Caenorhabditis elegans: one gene and its partners. The protein of the gene in region 1 purifies or fractionates together with the protein of each later gene. This does not show direct contact. Each region holds a gene or a part of one and is shown on either strand. Other genes may lie near its edges.

Region 1 (5,165 bases):
AGTTCCTGATGAATCATTTGTAAGCCCGATTGCTGAAAAAAGTGAACCCGTGGATTCGCAATTCAAAAAAGAACCTTCTATTTGGCTGGTGACCGATTCGGTAAGTGAAGAGAAATGCTCACTAATATATTTAAGTGTTTCAGATCATTGCGAAAGTTCAAGACATGAAACTAAGCGAAGAAGCCGAAGAACCAAAATCTCTAGATCCAGAAGATCAAGATATCGAACCATTTAAATTAACTGATGATGACAAAGATTTTATCAAATCTATCAAGGAATTTAGAAATTCGAATTTTGGTCCTCCATCGACTTCGAAACTTTTGAAAACAGCCCCGAAACCTGTACTATCAGCAAAAGATCGTAAAAAAGAAGACGAAGTTCTCGCAAAGCTGCGTGCAAAGTATGGAAATAAAAATGCTCTGCAAAAGAAGCCACCAATTCTGATTGAGGCTCAAGAGATCCATTCAAAATTGAAAACTATGGAAAAAGCAAAAGAAGCGTGGCTCGTTGATTTAATTAAGTTAGAAAACTCTCAAAATATAAATTTTACAAATAATTATCTCATTTAAGATCCTGGTTCACACCTGAAACTCGTAAATTGGTTCGAGAAGGTGCCAGACCAACCGGTGGAGCTGCTGAGCAAATTTTGATGGATTTTTTGTCCGGTAAAAAGGTGGACGCGGAGAAATTGGTCAATTTGCCGAATCTTGATAAGTACAATGTGAAAGAGAAGAGATTGAATATTTTCCTGCATTCTATTAGGAATCAGTGAGTTTATCTAGCAATTTTAAATATTAATTTTGAAATTACAGCTGGATGGATTTGGAAGCACGTTTACATTTAACTCCAACTCGTCGTGATATTCTCAGTCGAGTAGCTTCGACATTCCAACTCGATTCGGAAAATATCACTGGCTGGACAAAGAGAGAAATTAATTCTATCGTTATTGCTCTTTTCATTGTGTAAGTTCTAAAAAATGCATAATTAAAAAATTTCAAAATGTTGAAATTTAGGATTTGCCTCGTCGATGTTGAGCTTGGAGACGACTACTTCAAGAAGGACAACGCTTCTCCAGAACTTACTGCGATTTCCAATGAACTATGCGGGCTTGATTCTTTCCAAATTACCGGTTTGCACGCTGCGATTAAATCCCAATGTTGAATGATATTTTGAATAAAGTTTATCTTATCAGAACCAAGTTTAATTAACAAGAGACAATAATTAGAAAAGCGAATACAAGAAATTGTCAGAAACCGGGGACTTTATTGATCGTCATCCGAGTTCTCCTCGTCGGAGCTCTCGCGCTCGCTTTCGAAAGTTCCTTCTGGAAGCGAATAAAGGCGGATAACCGGAGATTGTGGATCCTTCATCAACAAGTACTTTCCTGGTTTTTGCTTCATACAACTGGAAAAAATTGATTACCAGTCTGGATGTGCTCGTTCTTACCTGTCAATGACGCATCTAAGAATTCCCCAGCAGTTATCCATGTTCAAGGCGATGTTGCTAGCAAACTCCGTTGGCTTTACGTATTGGGTGAGTAGAATAGAATGATTTTGTGTGCTGCGTGCATTGTTACGAGACACATATCCGAGCTTCATTGTGTCGGAACCGGCAAGAAGTGCTTGCAGAGTCCACTTTGCAACCTTAGCTGAGTTGTTCTTGATTTCGGTGGCCATTACGGCTCCCTTTTGAACATCAAGCTTTGTTCTCCAGTCGACACCTCCAGATTGTGTGCTATCCCATTCGTTGAATGCCTTGATTGTAAGAGTCTGAGTCTCATTTCCGAGTCCGTGAATAACTCCATCCAATTCTGTACGGCAAACCAACTCAACTGGTTTTCCATCAACTCCGTTTCCAAGATTCCACTTACGGTATCTAAAAATTGTTTAATTAAAGATCAAAATTTTAAACGAAAATCCTACTTGTAAGCAGTTCCTGACTCTCCAGTCTCCTCGTCTTCGAATGGAGCACGAGCATTCTTGAAGGTGAATCCTGCGTCGTTTCTCTTGACGACTTGACGACGGAAGTTTTGGTTAATGTAGAATGCCTCGGTCGCAAGATCCTTGGCATTGTTGATACCATTTCCGTCGAATGATGGTGGTTCGGCACTAGTCTCGGAAACAGTAAGGGTCTCAACTGGATTCAAAATATCTCTAGTGTTTCTCTTATCGAAGAAAAGTTTGTCTCCGACTCTGTAGGCAACAATGTCCCACGAGTAGACCGAACGAGGAGCAGTCATCAAAGTAGCAAGAATTATGTCTGTTCCGAAAACATTTCCAGCACCACCTTGAGCAAGTTCTTGAATTACAGGATCTTCCGTTGTGGTGACATTGTAGAACACGCCAGCGCATCTTTGAAGCGGAATAGAATTTTTCACAGAAACGCGATCAATAGTCTTGTCATAGTATTGAAGACTTCCATACTGGTGATCCCCAATGTCGTCTCCTCCTGGGATGTTAGGAAGAGCAAGTTTGGAAAACGCACTAAGATTCATTTCTTCAAGAACAACCCATTCCGGTCTAACTTGAACAGATGGAAGACGTTCCTTCGGCCGATCACCTCCGAATCGACCACCTTGTCCGCGTTGTCCTTGACGAGCATTTCCTCCACGACGTTGCCACATCTTGAAGGCACGTTGTTGCTCCTTGGCGATACTTCTCTTCATTCTCAAATTCGTTGACTGGTTCACCATCTCACGCTTCTCATTTTCTTTCTGCATCATCTTACGAAGATGCATTTGGCGGACACGGAAGTTGCGCTGTGGATTGCGAGCCATTGGTTTAGAAGTGTCAACAAGTTGGAAGTTATGCTCATCCATTCCATGAATGTAATCGAACTGACTTCCAGCGTTGGCGGCGGATCCATAGACACGCTCATTGTATCTAAATTTCAAGTTTTAACGATACCACTCATTTGTTGTATAAAAACCTCTCATTTCCTCTTCTATAGAATCTATCAACACCAATCCAGTCGGCAACACGTCCGATGCGATCAGCCTTGTTGAATTGTTGGAATGGAACAGGCTCATCAGCAGAGGAACTCGACGCCAATGGACCCCATCCGACTGTATTATCAGCCAATGACAACAGTTCAAACTTTGGTAGAGCCATACCTGAAATAAATATAAAATAGTGTTGAAATGCAATTTTAGGCCAAACGATAGCAACGACAAAAGAAATGGAAATGGAACAATAACATTCGAGAGCATTTAAAATATAGTTACAAGACTTTCATGAATTTATATAATTCACAAAACAGAAAAATTAATCAGAAAATCGTATAAAAATGTGAAAAATCCGACAAGAACGCGTGTAAAAATAAAAATGTTTAATCGAGAAATGCGCAAGGTACACGAAACGCGCCAACATTCGCCACTTGACGCCACCTCAATTTTTGGTTTTTATTTGTTTTCTCCAAATTTCCTCGCATAATCAGAATATAATTCCAGAAACGGGTCCACCTTGATGAATACAGTGCCACAAAGTATTCGAGTCATTCAGCTCTATCGACAGATTTTAAAATTGGGCAAGAATTGGAAAGCAAAAGAAGAAACAAATACTGTAGTTGAGAGACAACAAATTATCACTGAAGCTCGTCAGGCTTTCCGAGAGCACCAGCAGGTATTCTCGTTCTCAATATTGATGTGGAAACTAATTATATGGGATTTTTCAGGAAAAAGACCCAATAGTGATTGGCAAACTAATCTATCAAGCGGAGCAGCGAATCGTTCAAGCAGAACACTACGGAATTCCACATGCAAGACCCGAATACCTTCCTCCTGATACCGCTTATTCAGTCAGAACGAAAACGCAAAATTTTCACAAAATGTCAAGAAAACGGAGAACTGAGCGGGATGGTCCACTCAGAAAAGGAGACAACTGAACTCCAGTTCAAAAGATTTTATTGTAGCGCTTCAAAAATTCCGGATCAGCTAATGAAGGATATTGTAGAACAATGCATAAAAGATTCGGAATATGCTGAGAATCTTTGCAACAATGTCTTCAATAATGAAATTGTCACATCGCATGAAATTCGTTACAAATTTCAAATAAATGTTCTTAAAAACTTGATTTCTGAACTTCAAGCCAATAATGTTGTTGTTCCTGATTCAATGTTCGACAGGCTTGGTTCTCTAATGGGAATGAAAGAAGGAGAATATGTGGAAAGAGTAAGTTTTTAAACAATTCGTCAGCTCAAATGGAAATAATTTCATATTTTCAGGTTTACCTAACCGATGGAGGCGACAAAGTTCTAGCGAAATTCTCGGAAGCTGTAAATCAACTATCAATGGGTACAACTGGCTTATCAGTTTGGCAAGCTTCTTGTGATCTCGCCAATCTTTTTCGCTTGATTCCCTCCGAGTACAATCGAATATTAGAACTCGGGTCAGGATGTGGTGTTAGTGGAATTGCAATTGCAAAAATGAATGATTGTTGTGTGACGCTCACTGATTATGATGATAATGTGCTGAATCTTTTAGAAGAGAATATTGCGAAAAACGATCTGAAGAGTGATACTGAAGGTATTTTTTGAGAAATAAAATCGACTCCTTCCGTATTTCAAATTTAAAAATATTTAGAATCTAAATTGTAGATTCGTCAGCCAACAACAATCAAGCAACAGTTCGCTCACTCAATTGGTGTGATTTTGATTTCTCTGAATGGAAGGAACCCACGGATTTGATTATCGCGGCCGGTAGGTTTTGCTAATACTTTTATTTGTTAAATTCTTTGTTTTTCTATATGATATTCGTGTGAAACGAAACCCTTCAAATAACAGCTTCAGGCACTCATTATCCAAGTCTTCTCATTTCTCTGTGTCTCTCTTCTCTTTCACGTCTCCTTTTTCAGATGTTGTCTACGACACTGCATTGCTCGCCTCTCTCTGCAATGTGCTCAATCTTCTGCTCCGCCACTCAAAAGCTGCTATCGTTGCGTGCACTCGTCGTAACGAGTCGAGTATTGAGTGTTTCGAGCATCATTTGAGTTAGTTATTTTTCTTTCGTACACAATATTTTTCTATTCACTATATTTTTTACAGAAATGGCAAAACTAGAAATTGTGGAAAAATTCGAATACGAAAACGGTGCCTACACAATTGGAGAAAATTCGTATCATTATGCATCTATTTTCCCATTTTTCTCAACTCTCAAAACACCTACAATT
Region 2 (7,601 bases), on another chromosome or scaffold:
GCTGACCTCGAAACTCGTCGGCTGCACGTTTTGCATATATCCGCGCTCCCACAAGCAGTTTTTGAAGGCGGCTGTTTCTTAGCCAGATCGTTTTACGACTTATGAAGTGGATGGAGCGAACCTTCAGTGATGATTGCACTTCTTGTACCATATACCAGTTTAGATGTATATAGTTATCCAAGTAGATCACTGCTCCCCACTACCAAATTTTGGATGGCTCATCGAGAGATGACCCGAAGGTAACTGTAAAATCTTTAAAAGTGAGTTTTTTAAGATTTCTTTTTAAGAAACATAATACTTTCGAAAATCATGAAGAAACCAATTTGATATTTTTGTTCGGACTACTTTCGTACAGATCTCTATTTGGACCTAAGCCCGTACCTGATTACCATCATCTCTAAATATTTACTAATAATCTTATCACTTATTCAAATATGCAAAATCATATAAAACCATTTTAAAAAAACAAAAAACAATTGACGTAAAACGTGAATCAGTTTTTAAATTAGTTCTTGATAATTTTATTGTTAAAATCGACTGCTGTAGACTCTTGTCTCTCAACTCTTTGCTTCATTTGCTTAATATTATGCAAGTTTTCTAGTTTTTTCGAAAACGTGTCATATGGAAAGTTATCGAGTTGGAAAATTGTGATGCTCTCAAGGTTGCTAAAATAATTTTTAGATGATTAAAAAAAAAGTAAAATTGCCAAGTTATTGCATCAAAAACTTGAATTATTATGATGAATCAAATGTTGACACTGCACTTTTTCATTTGAATCAAATCAGAAACTTGAACCCATGTCGTGATTGAAAACTTAAAACCTGTTTTAAAATGTGTGTAGAAAAAAAACTAAAGTTTTATACCAAGTTTAGAACATGGATTCGGGGGACTCATATCTTGAACTATTAATAAAAAAAACTTTTATTTAAAATAAATATTATGCTATTCATTTGAATTACAAACTTATTGAATTGCGGACCTAGAAATGAGAAATGAACAATAGAAATTTGAAAATTTTTGAGAGAGAGACAAAAAATGGAATGTAGAAAGAACAATATATCAAATTAAGCCGTTACAATAAATTATGATGAATTATGAAGAAAAGGTAAATGAAAAAAATATTTTAAAAATGTTATTGCTCCAACGGGGTTCAGAAGACGTTTTGAAGTGAATTTTATGATGGAAAAAGATTCCAGAAATTTTGAAATTTTACACTGACAATAAATAAAGATGGAACGGGGTGGGGCGGGGGTTTTTGAATTTTGGCACGGAAAATGCATGGAATTATAAGCATGCGAAAATGCTTATCGAGACGTCTAAAGATCTAATAGTTCTTATAAATTGAAAACAACTCTTACAGTACTGTAATGCTGCGATGACTCTACATTATGAAATTTGGAAAATAATACAAAAATATTACAAAAAATTAAAAATTGTATGAAGCAAATAAATAATATTTAACACTTGGAACCGAGAATGAGCAAATGTTCAAGCTTGACGGCTGGGGAGCAAATGAAGATAGAAAGGGTTGGGTGAAGTTCTAGCATCTGGTTTCATACAGTCCCGATCTTCCAATGTAACGAACCCATTTGATGACGTCATGATCCGAATAGTTCAGTTTTGGCTCAAACACCTTCAAGTAGCGAACTTTGAGTCCAGATGGAGCAAACGGAACCTGGAAATTAGAATGGTTCAATTATTGAGGTGGAAAAAATGTAAGTTTACCTCAAAGTTCATGCTGACCGGTGGGCGATTCCATTTCTTCTTCTCAACGTTTCCAGTTGAGAGAAGATCGATTTCCGCAGAAATTTGGCTTTCCTTCATTCCGGCCATACGCTTTATTCTGAAAACAATGGTAACATTATAAGGCCTGTGAGAACTTTTTCATTCAAAATTAGAAAACAAAATGCTCCAAAAGCTTTAGTAAAAGCATTAGATTTCTGAAATGCTTCAGTCAAGGTTTGGAAAATTCACTAATTTCAGAAAGTCTTGAATTTTTAATTGAAAAAATACGTGCAGCACAGTTTTGCATATTTTGATGGTTTTTGATAAAAGGTAAGACAACCAAAATATAATCGCAGTCTTTAAACAATTTCAACTGCAAAAATATACATTTGCTTAGCAGTCAGATGAAAAATTTATTTTTGAACATTCGTGCCAATTTGCGACAGATTGTGAACAAAACATATATATGATATTACATCAATTTGTTTAAGGAAGCTGTTGGTCCCTTTTTGGTACACTTTTTGATTGTGAGCTCATATTTGAACTCTTGGTTAACTATTGTGTGAAAGAAATTCAGGGGATCAAGCCGCCCACAAATCTTGATCTCGTGAAAAGAAGTGCAGAAAAGACTTGAGAATCATTGTAACTCGAAAATTCAAACTTTGTCTCCTGTATACAATTCCACCAATTTTTGAAAATGGCGCTTGAAGTTAATAATTTCTGTTTCACTGTTACGGACGAGTTAAATGTTTTCCTTTAGTTACAGGTGCAAATTTGTTATTTCAAGCCCACAAAAAATTTCCAGAAAATTCCTTTTTAGTAAATATCCCAACCATATCCCTTTTCGGCAATAATATGTACAACTACATAGTATTAGTTAATGTTCTACTGCCAATTTCTCTGATTGCAGTTTCTTTCTTTTTTAGTTGTACAGCTCAAAGTGTGTAATGCTTCTGCCCAATTTTCTTAGCGCCCCCTCCCCTCCCACTTTTCTCGTTTTCTTATTCTTGCCCAAAATGGAGCCCCCCCCCCCCTTCTCCTTTTTCTCTCTGCCGCTTCGTTTTAATCCTATGCTCAGTCAGTGTATGAGCACCGGGCACACGCCCCCACTCACTTCCACACAATGGCATTCTCGCCTGCCTTGTACTTGGCTTTTCCCTTCATGCAAATAAGTTGAACGCCGGATGTATTTGGTGGGGTTGGAATGCGAACTTCGAGCTTTTGAGCAAGAAGGGATGGCTTGAAGTTAGACTTGACGACAACCTGAAAATGAGAGCCATGATTGGTAAATATTTGAAGTGACAAGTGAAATACCTTAACTTCCATCTTGTTACGAGACACTTCACGAACCAATGGGATCACACGGAATGGCAGTTGGATATCCTTAGTGGTACGGTATCTGCAAAAAGTAATAACACTACGAAAATTGTACAACAAAAAGTGTACCTCATCAGCTCGTACTCGCCGTCCGGTGGGATAAAAGAAATCGCGTGCTCCGTCTCAAATTTCGTCAGCTTCACGCATTGGTGGAATTGACAGTCATCAATGGCCACTGCGGCACGGCTTCTGCAAACAATAAAGTATCAGTTTCCCTATCCCGGAAACTCAGACTAACGCTTTGTTTGGATCATCACTTCCTGGCTTCGACTTTCCTTCGATGGTAATTTTGTCGTTGATGCCAAATTTGCACTCCGGCATTCCACTCAAATAGGATTTCATCGCAACTTTTCCGGCAACATGAGCAGATAATACTTGTCCTTAAAAATTATATTCGATATAAAAGTATGCACGTCGTTATTGTGTGTACCTTGTTGATTCATGAGCAAGTTGACATATTCAATAACATCCAGGAAGAGCTCATTTCGGCGGTACTTAATACCCTCCCGACGCCATCCAATTTGGCCAGTCACTTGAGACGTGATTTGTGACTGCTCCTCTTTGGTCTGCAAAACGTCTATTATTCTATGTATTCTCCTGAGACAAAATATGAATGGTTATCTAGATTTTTGCTACAATCTGAAAAGATAGCAAATCTTTTTGATTTTCTGACAATAAAATAAGAGACACAAGTAAAAAATGATTCCGTGCACACAAAACACAGTTGGTCACAATATATACATATGAAAACTTACCACTGGGACAGGAGCATCCTATAAAAAAAGGGTTCGTGAATAAAGAGCGGAAACCTAATACTTTAATTTTAGAAAAATTTTGAACCTGAAAGCGTGAGCCAGCGTGTACAGGTGGGCAGAATAACGCGTGACGCTTTTTTCATATTTGGTGCATTTTGTTTTTGGGCAACTTTTTATTTTGAAGGAGGAGTATCGGTTCTGAGTTTTTTTTAAATTTAAAATGTAAACAAATAACAAAATTTTGTAATGGGGCTTCTCGAACATTTTTCAAACATTCTTTGTCATTTCAAAATAGCGAAAAATTAATGGTCTGATTTTAGCTAATATATTTAACTTTCCCAAATTTTACGTGTCATAGCAGATGAAAAATGGTTTCTATTGAAAAATAGCTTTTAAATATCTTTTTTATTGTTTTTTTTATCTCACATTATTTCGTTGATCAAGGAACGTTTAAAACAAAAATTAGCAAAATAGAATTCCTATCTTGTAAATGAATGAACATGAGATAAACTACTAAAACATGCATGATGTGAAAATGAAACTATTTCCAGTCCGCGACACCGAAAACTTGACAAAATATCGGCTTTTAGCTAAATTTAAGCAAATTTTTCAAAATTTTGACCCGCCATAAAAAATTACAAGAAATGTTTTGAGAAGTCTCACTATGAAATTTGTTTATTTCAGCACATTTTAAGTCTGTAAAAGTGAAAACCCAACATTGATACTCCTCCTTGAACACTGAAAATTGTAAATTCCTTACAGCTGTTCTGACTCCTTGCTGGGTGATGAAAGTTTTCAGCACACCAGGGTCCGTATTCTGGGGGTATCCAAAGTCGAGAATCTCGTCGAGCAACTCATAAATCAACACAAAGTTGTTCTTCACATTCTCCTCGTTCAGTTTTCCAAAGTAAGACTGCATGGTGTCGGCGAAGCGTTTCAAGAACTGAAATTCGTAATTTAAGTGTGTCCCTAATACTTTTCCCCGTCGCTACCTCAAAAACCATGGCAGCGTTGACATTTTGACGTGTCACCGCACAAATCCAGACGTTGCCACGCTTCACATGGAAGAACGAAGTACGAGCCATGTTGGTGACTGGCGAGCGAACTTGCTGTCGGGCATGGATGACGTTGACTCGGAAGGCGTCGACTGCGTTCCGGCTGAAACTAGTGAAACGTGAAAATATGATTTCTTCTTGTTTGGGTCTTGTGTACACCATCGCATTTTTCTCATTTCTTTCAATAAACATTTTTACATAGAAAAGTTTGTGAACAAACAGTCTCGGCAAAAACAGCGCGGCAAACATTTTTTCATTTCTTTATTTCCCTGTTTCAGCGCACCACTTTTTCTTTTAAACATTTTTGAACATTTCCAAACATGCCATATATAAAAAATTACTTACGTTACATCGTCTCGATAGATTCTCGAAATGAGCACTTCTCCTTTGTGATTGTAAACGAACAATCCACCAATCATCCCCGAGTTTGCTGAAATGTATTTTAATGAGATAATCACTCTTTTCAACAGAAAAAATGTTAGAAAATGTGAAAAATGCAATGAAAACCAAAGAAAAAAACAAGACAAAAAACCAATCGGTTTCCTTTAGTTGACCAAGTTCAGCAAAATCGACGGACCAAAACTGGTCCGATAGAGCGCCCTTCAAAAGAGTCGCGCGGTGCGGTCGCGTCGCAGTCCTCCTCATCCTTCATTCGCCGGGGGTTGTTTCGTCATATGTTTGTGGATAGACGAAGAGAGTGCAGAGAGAGCAGAGAGTGAGAAGAGACGACATAGACGGGCAGACGGCGGGTACCTCTTGCCTCGTCTCTCTGACGCGACACCGCTTCCCGCTTGTATTTCTTTGGGTGTCTCTGTCTCGTTCTCTCTTTCTCTACTCCTCTCTCGCACATTATATCTCATGCTTTTTTGAAATTGTTTGATTGTTGCATAGCTTTTGAATTAATTTTTCTGATTTCCCTTCTTCCGAAATTTAAAATATCGATTTGTCACCGTTATAGCTATAACCTCGCAAAATTGAACGTGCTAAATTTATAATTATGAAATCAATAGAAACTTATCAAACTGCTTCCACTTAAAATGTTGTTGACCCACTTTTTTCGCATCTATTTTCAAAAATGTGAATAATGAAATTTCTTCAAAAATAATGAAATTTTTGATATGTTAGAGATAGATAAAAAGGCAAATATTGAAAAACACGCAATGACCCAAATAGCCGAAACAACAAAAAAGAAGATTTGATAAATCATCATTTGAAGATATCTTTGATCTTTTTTCAATCGTGGCCTAAGATATTCTCGACCCCCGTAGTCATGCCTATACAGGTTATTAGTCACACTCCTTTCGTCGTCGTTCACTACCTTTTCCGTTCTCCTCCATTTCCAGCCCTCTTGCCACACACACACACACACACTTCGCCTACATTTTTTGTTCATTTTCATTTTCACGTGAGATACTTCAAATACTTCTAGTTTGATTCTGTAGAGTACTGAGTGTAAGTCTGAAGACGTACATATAAGTTTGTAAGTGTATTACTTTTTTACTCGAAATTGGTTTATTTAATGAATAGCATTTTTTATGTAAATTTTTTGGTGTTTGTCACTGTTTTTTTTTTGTGGAAAAACTACGAAAAACACTGCTGCTGATTATAAAACTGAATCTTTCAAATAACTCAAGTTATAACATTTGAAAGTGAAGAAAATACGACATTCAATTTGTAAAATTTTATATAAAAAGTTACTGATATATACGTAGAAACAACGCAGAACAAAATCTATGAGATAAATAGAGCGAACGATTATCGTATTATATGTACAGCCCAAAAACCATAGATTCCTCCCTGAATGAGAAAAAAGCCGACTTGCGTCAATTTCGCATTTGACATGAAACAAACTGATATTAATATATATATATATGCATCCTTTGTCAAGTATAAACCCTCTTTCTCCGTCATTCTCTCAATTCGTCAGTCTTTTCGGTCTTTCTCTCTCTCTTTCTTTCTACCAGTGAGAACCGGCTTTTGCATAATCGAGTTGACAGCCCAAATGACTAAAATGGCTAAATGGGCGCCAGATTTTTAGTTAGTTAGTCGTTTCGACTGACTGTACTTGGAGGCCCCGGCCATTAATGGCCTTCCGCCTATTTCCCCAATTTTTTGGTTACTCATTCTCATGACTATCACGTTCGTTTGCCCCTGATTTGTGACTTGTTGATACATTTTCTGAATGATCACTGAATCTTTAACCTGGTTCTTCTTTCTGTGTAATTTCAGCATACAAAACGTCGCTGTAAAAGTTTTGAAACAAGTTTGTTAAATTAGAGGCTTGAAATTTCAAAGTGTGTCGTAACCAATACCATTTCTCATTTTTTTGTTGCTTGTAAATTTGTAATTCACAACAAAATAAATCAATAATTTGATTTTTTTGTTAGTATTTTTATGCTCTGGGTTTTTTTTTTGAAACTGAAGTACGGTCAGTGATAATATGTTCAGATCCTATAGTCAAACTTTAAAAAATTGAAATGTTTTTAATCACTCTTAAAATGCATTTCCTACTAAATTTTTACTGTAATTACCGTTTAGTTATTTGTATTTGAATATGTTCCAAATTTTCCAAATATCAATTTTTTTTAATTTTTGGAAATTGGCCACCACTTTTGCTGAAAAGTTTTCAAAATTGGAAATTTCGAGAGTGTTTCGATTATACTGTTAGACCTAGATTAATAAGTAATAA
Region 3 (7,541 bases), 1.1 Mb from region 1:
AGTCGGTCGGTCACCAGTACTTGTCATTAATCGTTGCGAACTTCGAATTCCAGGCAATAACGGTACGGTCATCATCTCTGTAAATCGCCTGATATCTTCGACAGAATCAGGACCCATGTTTCGTAGTAAAGCAGCCATTTCAGCACCTATTTCGTCCTGTAAAGGCCTTCCTTGTGCTGCTGTTCGTGACACTCCTGCTCGATTTCCTCTTCTTGCTAACATTGGACGTCGCTGAACTGGGCGAGTAGTTATTGGTTCAGTTGAACGAAATAGGTTTTCCATTCTGTAACAATTTGTGATTTTTCAAAAATATTTAGAAATATTGGGAAATGTGAGTTTTTTGTATGCCTTACGTATGAAGATGAATCTCTGTCCAATGTACGCTCAAATTTTCAGTTTCTTTCGATTGAATGTGCTCCATCTCTGTGTTTCCAATACAAAGCGGGCATATCTGGACGTTAACAAATTAATGTTATTTAAAGGATATTATGTTTAGCATTTTCTCTTACCACACTGTAGCCCGGAGCCTCCGGATGTTGTGAAAGTACATGTGTCCCAAATTGCCGTTCGGTCAATCCTGTTATATTACAATACGGACAAGTGAAGGAAACAATTTTCCGTTCGTCATAATGTCGCGTAGGGTCGCCTTGGTATACGAGGTCTGTAAAGAATACTAATATTTGATAACATAATTTTTTAGGGGACGAAAATTATATATTTTTAATTTTTCTGAAATCCTCACTCTCACCATGTTTTTATAATAGATGTTTTAATTATGTTAAAACTATGAAACTTGTCATTTTATTTATTACAAAAAAAACTCAAAATGTTAATTTTTTTCGATAAAATTAAATTAAAGCTTTGAATTTTTTATAAAACCAAATGTTATGTGTAAATATTTATAATCCTACCAAAGTCCACAGAGCTCAAAATTAACTGCATTGGATGGGACTCGTCGTGTATTGGGATATCAGCTATTGTTTGCTGGTCTCCGTAGTTCTTTGTGGTAAAACAACTGAAGCAGAGATCGTAATCACTGCATCGTAGGCATTTGTAACGGTTTCCAGCAAACGCGGTGAAAGCACACCCATCACACGATACACCTGAATGAAGGGAGATATTAGTAATTCTTTTCAGATTCAATTACCCTCGTGTGTGCCAGTAAGAGGAGTCACCATCAATCGACTATGAAAGCTGAAAACGATTCAATTGTTTAAATGTATTGTAAAACAGCAAAAAATAAACCAGCCAGGAAAAATCGATTATATTAAGTGGATTTTCTCAGTGTGATTGTGGAATAAAATATTATAATTTTAATTTTAGGTGGAACTGGGAAAACTCAATTGATTTTAAACATTGATTTGAAGAAAAACTTTAAAAAATTAGCAAGAAAGGGTAAACATTGTGGATATCTGATGAAAATAACACTCGCGCTTTAAAGGCGCGTAGAGTTTTCTCCGCGTGCAGGTCTCGCCGCGAAAGCCTTTTTTCGTTCATTTTCCAACCGATCGGTCGGATTCTCAGCCATCTTTTGCGAATTTTTAGTGTTTTCCGCAATTTTTTGATGTTTCTGTTGTGAAATTATGATAGAAAACAATTTTCTATTCATGATAGTGCAAATTTTTCTCAAAAATGATGAAATTTATCGATTTCTCGTAAGAAAACATGTTATTCTATTGAAAACGAGTCAAAAAGTCTAGATTATTGAAGTACTATGTGCAAAGTTGAACTATTTTCATAGCTTCTACAGTAAATACATATTAAAGAAGTTTTTAATTTAGTGTAATAGCTAAATTGCTGGCGAACTGTTAAAAAGTGATCAATTAAAATGTGAATGTACAAATTAACATCGATCCAATTGAAATTCGGAACCGTTTTTGTGATCTTTTTTTAAAAATACATTTCGAATTTGGAATTACGCTCTATAAAAAAAATATTGATTCTTAATGTAAACTTCTTTTCATTTCGCAATTTTCAGGCTTCGTGTCTCAATTCAGCGGTAATCCGAGCACAACTATGGCTCCGAATTATTTTCAAAAGCCCGAAGCGGCATTGAAACGCGCCGAAGAACTCATTCAAGTTGGAAAAGAGTCCGATGCCCTTGACACGCTTCATGATACTATCAAGGTAGGCTTTAGAATGCTCCTAATTTGAAACTTTGAATTTTCAATTGTTGTAGGCCAGACGACACAAGCAATGGACAACTGTTCACGAACAAATCATGATTAAGCACATGGAATTGTGTGTAGATCTGAAGAAACAACACTTGGCAAAAGATGCTTTGTTTCAATACAAGGCTCTAACTCAACAGGTTATCTTTTTTTTAACGATTGCTTTTGCGAGTAGAAAATTATTATTCTGACTGACAGTAATGCAAATTATTCATGCTAATTAATTAATTTTCAGATCAATGTGAAATCTCTCGAAACAGTTGTGGTGCATTTTTTGAAACTCGCAGAGCAGCGTACTGAAGATGCTCAAAAACAATCGATCGAAAAAGTCGAAGAAATTGGAGATCTTGATCAAGGAGATGTTCCTGAACGCCTTCTTCTTGCTGTTGTTTCTGGAGCAGCTGCTCAAGATCGAATGGATCGTACTGTTCTTGCACCATGGCTCCGTTTTCTCTGGGATTCTTACAGAAATTGTCTGGAATTGTTGAGAAACAACGCCCAAGTTGAACAACTCTACCACACCATATCTCGCCACTCTTTCACTTTCTGTCTCAGATATCAACGTAGAACAGAGTTCCGAAAGCTGTGCGATCTCCTCCGTATGCATCTGAATCAGATACAAAAACACCAATATGCTCCAAATGTGTAAGTGATGACACTATTCAGTAAACGCTAATTAAAATATTTTCTGTTCTTTCAGAAACTCTTTCCGTGTGAAACTCACTTCTCCAGAATCTCTAGGTCTTATGCAAGACACCAGATTGATTCAATTGGATACTGCGATTCAGATGGAGCTCTGGCAAGAAGCTTACAAGTATGTTTTTCTTGTTTTTTTTTAAAGTTCATGTGCGAGGGATTATTTTTCCAGTGAATTGATTGTTTAATCAAATTTTATATGTTATTTTTTCAGAAGCGCAGAAGACGTTCACGGAATGATGCAGCTTTCAAAAGACAAAGACAAGAGAACGGTAAAACCTGCAAGCTATGTCAATTATTATGACAAACTTGCATTGGTGTTCTGGAAAGCAGGAAACAGTTTGTTCCACGCCGCCGCCCTTCTTCAAAAGTTCATCATTTACAAAGATATGAAGAAGTCTTTCACACAGGATGAAGCACAAGAACAGGCTACTAGAGTGCTTCTCGCTACTCTTTCCATCCCAGAAGGATCAGATTCGCCATCTGATTTGTCTCGCAACCTTGATATTGAGGATCAACATGTAGCCAACATGAGACTTCTCTCAAATTTGCTTCGTCTTCCAATTGCTCCAACTAAAAACGGAATTCTCAAGGAAGCCGCACGGATTGGAGTACCAGAAGCTGCTGGACAAACCGCCAAGGATCTGTACAAGCTTCTTGAGAGTAATTTCTCACCATTAAAAGTAGCTAAGGATGTTCAATCTGTTCTTGATACTGTCACTCGCCCTGACCATCTGCAATATGTTGAGTCTCTTCAAGCAGTTGCTGCTGTGAAGGCTTTGAAGCAAGTATCTGTCATCTACGAAGCTATCAGCTGGGAACGAATTCGAAAGATTATTCCATTTTACTCTGACTTGGCATTGGAGCGTCTCGTCGTTGAAGCAAGCAAACATAGAATTGTGAAAGCTCAATTGGATCATCGTGCTGATTGTGTTCGCTTTGGATCATCCGATGCGACATTGGCCGGAGGAGTCGATGAATGCGATAACAACGAAGGATTCACTGGAGATGATACTCAATTGGGAGTGGAAGGTGTTCGTAATCATCTTGAAGCAATGTATACACGTCTTCGTGGTCTCGTTGAAGGACTCGATGCCGAAAAACGACGCAAAGAGATTCTCAAAAAGATTGAAGGACAGGTCACTAGTTATGAAAAGAACCGACCAACTGAAATCGAGCGTATCCACCGTCGCAAGAAGATGTTGGAGAACTACAAAGAGAACTGGGAGCGTGTTAAGGCTGAAAAGACTGCTGCGGCTGCAACTGAACAAGCTAAACGTGAGGAAGCAGCTCGTGCTGAGGAGATGAAGAGATTGGATGAGCAGAACAAGGAGAGCGAACGGAAAAGAAAGCAAGCAGAACAGGATGAGATTCAGAAGAAGATTAAGCAAGATCAGCTCTACAAAATGCAGCAGAACGCCATCTACCAAGAAATTATCAAAGAAAAGGGTCTCGAGCAATTCAGAGACATGGATCCCGAGCAAGTGCTGCGTGAGCAGAGAGAACGATTGGATAAGGAGCGTGCCGAAACTCAACGTCGGTTGCAACAACAAGAGAAGAACTTTGACCATCATGTTCGCGCTCTTCACTTGGAAGAGTTGAACGAGCGTCGTGCAGTGATGAATATGCGACTCTCTGAAGCTCCAAAACTTCACGATTTATACGAAGAGGCTAGAATAGCCAAGGAAATGTAAGTTTTTTTTTTCAATTAATGTTAATTTTTTGAAATTCTACTAAAATTTTAGAAAACCGAAAGCGTCTATTTAAATTTTCTCTTAAGTTTTGCTTTTCCTGCAAGTTTGAGTTTGAGAAGGATTTTCGTCGTTCTTAGCATTATGAAATGCACAAAAGTTTTGCGATAAACACGATTTAGATCATATATTAATAATTTTGTTGTTTCATTTGGAAAATTAGAATTTTTCTATTTTTAACATTAGTGATTTCTTTCTTTTTTTTGATCTCTCATTGTAATAAAAAATAATATTCCAGTGCTGCTCATGACTCACACGTCAAACTATGGGGAATGTGGGATCAAGTGCGAGACGCTACTTTTGATTGGGTCGAGTCGGTGAAAATCGACAACCAGGAAACTCTTGAGAAGAAGTTGTCTGATTGGCAAGCGAAGCTCGAGGCAGTTCGTAATAATCGTCTTGCCGAACGTGCTGAGGATCGTAAGAAGAAGCGAAAGGAAGATGCTATTCAGGCGAAGATTGCCGAAGAACGTAAGAAACGCGAAGAAGAGGAGCGTGCCCGTCTCCAAGTTATCGAAGGACAACGTCGTCAACACAATGATGGTCGTGGTCGTAGAGAAATGGAGAATTCGGTTGCTATGCAAGACAATGATTGGAGACGTAACCCACCACGTGAGAGTTTGCCTCCAAGAGAAACGAGACCAATGCGTGATGGACCAACACGTGAACCTCGAGAATTCCGTGGAGATCGTGATCGTGAACCTAGAGAGCCATTCCGTGAGGTGCCATCTTCTAAAGCTGATACTGACAACTCTTGGAGAAGTTCTGCTCAACCAACTCGTAAACCTGACGATCGCCGCAGCGACGAGTTCCGGCGCAACGATGATGTCCGTCGCAACGACGATGTTCGCCGCAATGATCCACCCCGTCCAGCATCGAAGGCTGATACTGGGGATAAGTGGGAACGAGGAGTGAAGCCAGTCGTTTCTCCACCAAAGACCGATGCCCCATCAGGTAAGATTAGTTTTTATTGTTCAAACATTTGTCGCTACAAACCTAAAAAAATAATCATTTTTCAGTTTCTGAACCGAAATCGGAAGGACCCAAGAGGTTCGTGCCACCCCATCTTCGAAACAGACAAGGAGGTGGTGGAGCAGGTGGTTCCGAGGAACAATCCGCTCCTGCTAGATCTGGAAATTCCAATGTGACAAGCCCACCAGACCGGGCTCAAGGACTCCGAGGCCCACCACCAACTGGCCGCAACTCGTTGCCTCGTCGTGACGGACCACCACCACGGTCTAACAACACTGGAAACACGGGAAATGCCGATAGTGGAAGTTGGAGAAAATAAACACATGCTCAATTTGTGCTGATTCCATATCCAATTTTCAGAAATTACTCGAATGTCCTTAAAATTAGTATCCTGGTTGATTTTTCTGTCTTTTTTCCTGTTTTGGTTATCCTTCCCCCACTTTCTCTCTAATTATAAAATCACACGCATCTATAATCAATTGTTTCGTTAACTTTCTTGGTGTTGTTATTTAAATTTCCCCGAATCCCCTGTTGACCCTCATTGAGAATTCCTATATTCTCTTCACATCCATCTTTCCGTAAACCCCAATTGTTTGAGTATTTATGAGTAATGATATGAATAAAGACATATGTAGCTGACGACTTGAACGACTTAAACGAGTGGGCGTGTCGTCGTTTGTCCGAGAGCAACTTAGAAAGTGCCCGAGGCGCATCGAAACGAGCCACATTGGGGCACCTGTATGAGGGTGCTTTAGACGACGTAATGAGACACTGAGAGCACGCTGATTGTAGAGACGGAGACGTCATGAGTGGACAGAGAGGAGACGGGGGGTAATACAATAAAATAGGATAGATGGTATGGGGCAAGCAAGCAGTGGCCCCATACACTTCTGAAGGCACCAGTTGTATTCATGATTCACCTCTCCTGGATGTGCTTCCTGCTTTTACCTTCTTTCTAAGTAAAACCGTACCAATGGTTTGAACATATATATATAACACAATTTTGATATATTATAAGTTTTTATTACCCGCACGCAAAATTTTGTGATTTTTTCCCAAAAATACAGTCCCCGGTCTCGACACGACAATTTTTGTTAAATACAAACATGTGTGCGCCTTTAAAGATTACTGTAGATTGAAAGTTTCGCTGCTGTGGAATATTCATTGATTTTTGATAGTTTCTTTTCACGCTTCGTTAAAATGTATGTGTTATTAATGTTAAGTTAAAAAGAAATATGAAAAATAAATGAAAATTCCACAGCAACTTAAGTTTGAAATTACAGTACCATTCTTAGCAATCTGTGAGATTTACGAATTTTAAAAAATGGTGTACAGTTCAAAGGGGATTTTTCTTCAAAGTACCCTAATTCCATGAAATTTAAATATAGCTATACCACAAAAAGTGAACAATTCACAAAAATTCACAAAAAAACCGAATATATTTTTATCTGTTTTAATTACCTCCAAACTGATAACTGCAAGACCAATCAGTGACTTCGAGCTTTGCCCACTCAATCTGATTGGTTCAAAAGTGGGCGGAGCGATTCGCTAATTGGTCTTCCAGTTCTTATTGTAGAAATAATTCGAACACGGAGTTTAGCAAGGTTTTTAGATCTCTCTCGAGTTTTTCGTTGTTCCTTTAAAATTTCAGCTTTTAAAATAATTTTCCAATTGACTATACTCCATTTTCAAAGAAATCCCCTACTACGTAAAATATAACTCATATTTTCATTTTTCCGGAAAAAAGAAATTTCTTGATTATAGGCTTGTCAGGTCGTGTTGGTCTCAAACGAAATGACGTTTCCATCACAACAGAAACAATTTTCCTTTTTGGCTTTCAGTTTAGTCTATGGCAAATAATTGTTGGTTACATTGAGACCTTCAATTTTTAATTTTTAAATAATTTTCAACCTACTGTAAAACAACTTTGTTCTTTGAGTTTTTAGGGTTC

What was found.
Region 2: the proteins of eif-3.D (region 1) and dpy-23 fractionate together in Caenorhabditis elegans (co-fractionation; one large-scale study listed by BioGRID). This does not show direct contact.
Region 3: the proteins of eif-3.D (region 1) and egl-45 fractionate together in Caenorhabditis elegans (co-fractionation; one large-scale study listed by BioGRID). This does not show direct contact.

The regions. Positions count from the first base shown.
Region 1 is NC_003281.10:8,968,467-8,973,631, forward strand, and holds eif-3.D (Eukaryotic translation initiation factor 3 subunit D), read right to left. Parts: upstream 3,113-5,165; 5' UTR 3,111-3,112; coding exon 2,929-3,110; intron 2,883-2,928; coding exon 1,923-2,882; intron 1,876-1,922; coding exon 1,447-1,875; intron 1,405-1,446; coding exon 1,263-1,404; 3' UTR 1,169-1,262; downstream 1-1,168. Other genes in the region: Putative RNA polymerase II subunit B1 CTD phosphatase rpap-2, read left to right, coding at 1-100, 144-520, 571-768, 813-962, 1,014-1,161; R08D7.4 (Complex1_LYR_dom domain-containing protein), read left to right, coding at 3,755-4,168, 4,222-4,522, 4,594-4,695, 4,851-4,985, 5,041-5,165.
Region 2 is NC_003284.9:4,387,106-4,394,706, reverse strand, and holds dpy-23 (AP-2 complex subunit mu), read right to left. Parts: upstream 5,349-7,601; 5' UTR 5,332-5,348; coding exon 5,258-5,331; intron 5,016-5,257; coding exon 4,850-5,015; intron 4,801-4,849; coding exon 4,618-4,800; intron 3,876-4,617; coding exon 3,858-3,875; intron 3,669-3,857; coding exon 3,533-3,668; intron 3,483-3,532; coding exon 3,341-3,482; intron 3,292-3,340; coding exon 3,172-3,291; intron 3,125-3,171; coding exon 3,040-3,124; intron 2,989-3,039; coding exon 2,840-2,988; intron 1,844-2,839; coding exon 1,726-1,843; intron 1,676-1,725; coding exon 1,541-1,675; 3' UTR 904-1,540; downstream 1-903. UniProt on the Caenorhabditis elegans protein: Component of the adapter complexes which link clathrin to receptors in coated vesicles. Clathrin-associated protein complexes are believed to interact with the cytoplasmic tails of membrane proteins, leading to their selection and concentration.
Region 3 is NC_003281.10:7,823,064-7,830,604, reverse strand, and holds egl-45 (Eukaryotic translation initiation factor 3 subunit A), read left to right. Parts: upstream 1-1,978; 5' UTR 1,979-2,016; coding exon 2,017-2,127; intron 2,128-2,179; coding exon 2,180-2,311; intron 2,312-2,406; coding exon 2,407-2,816; intron 2,817-2,871; coding exon 2,872-2,985; intron 2,986-3,081; coding exon 3,082-4,557; intron 4,558-4,856; coding exon 4,857-5,572; intron 5,573-5,637; coding exon 5,638-5,909; 3' UTR 5,910-6,228; downstream 6,229-7,541. Other genes in the region: E3 ubiquitin-protein ligase kcmf-1, read right to left, coding at 1-77, 147-283, 354-451, 510-661, 912-1,103, 1,148-1,178.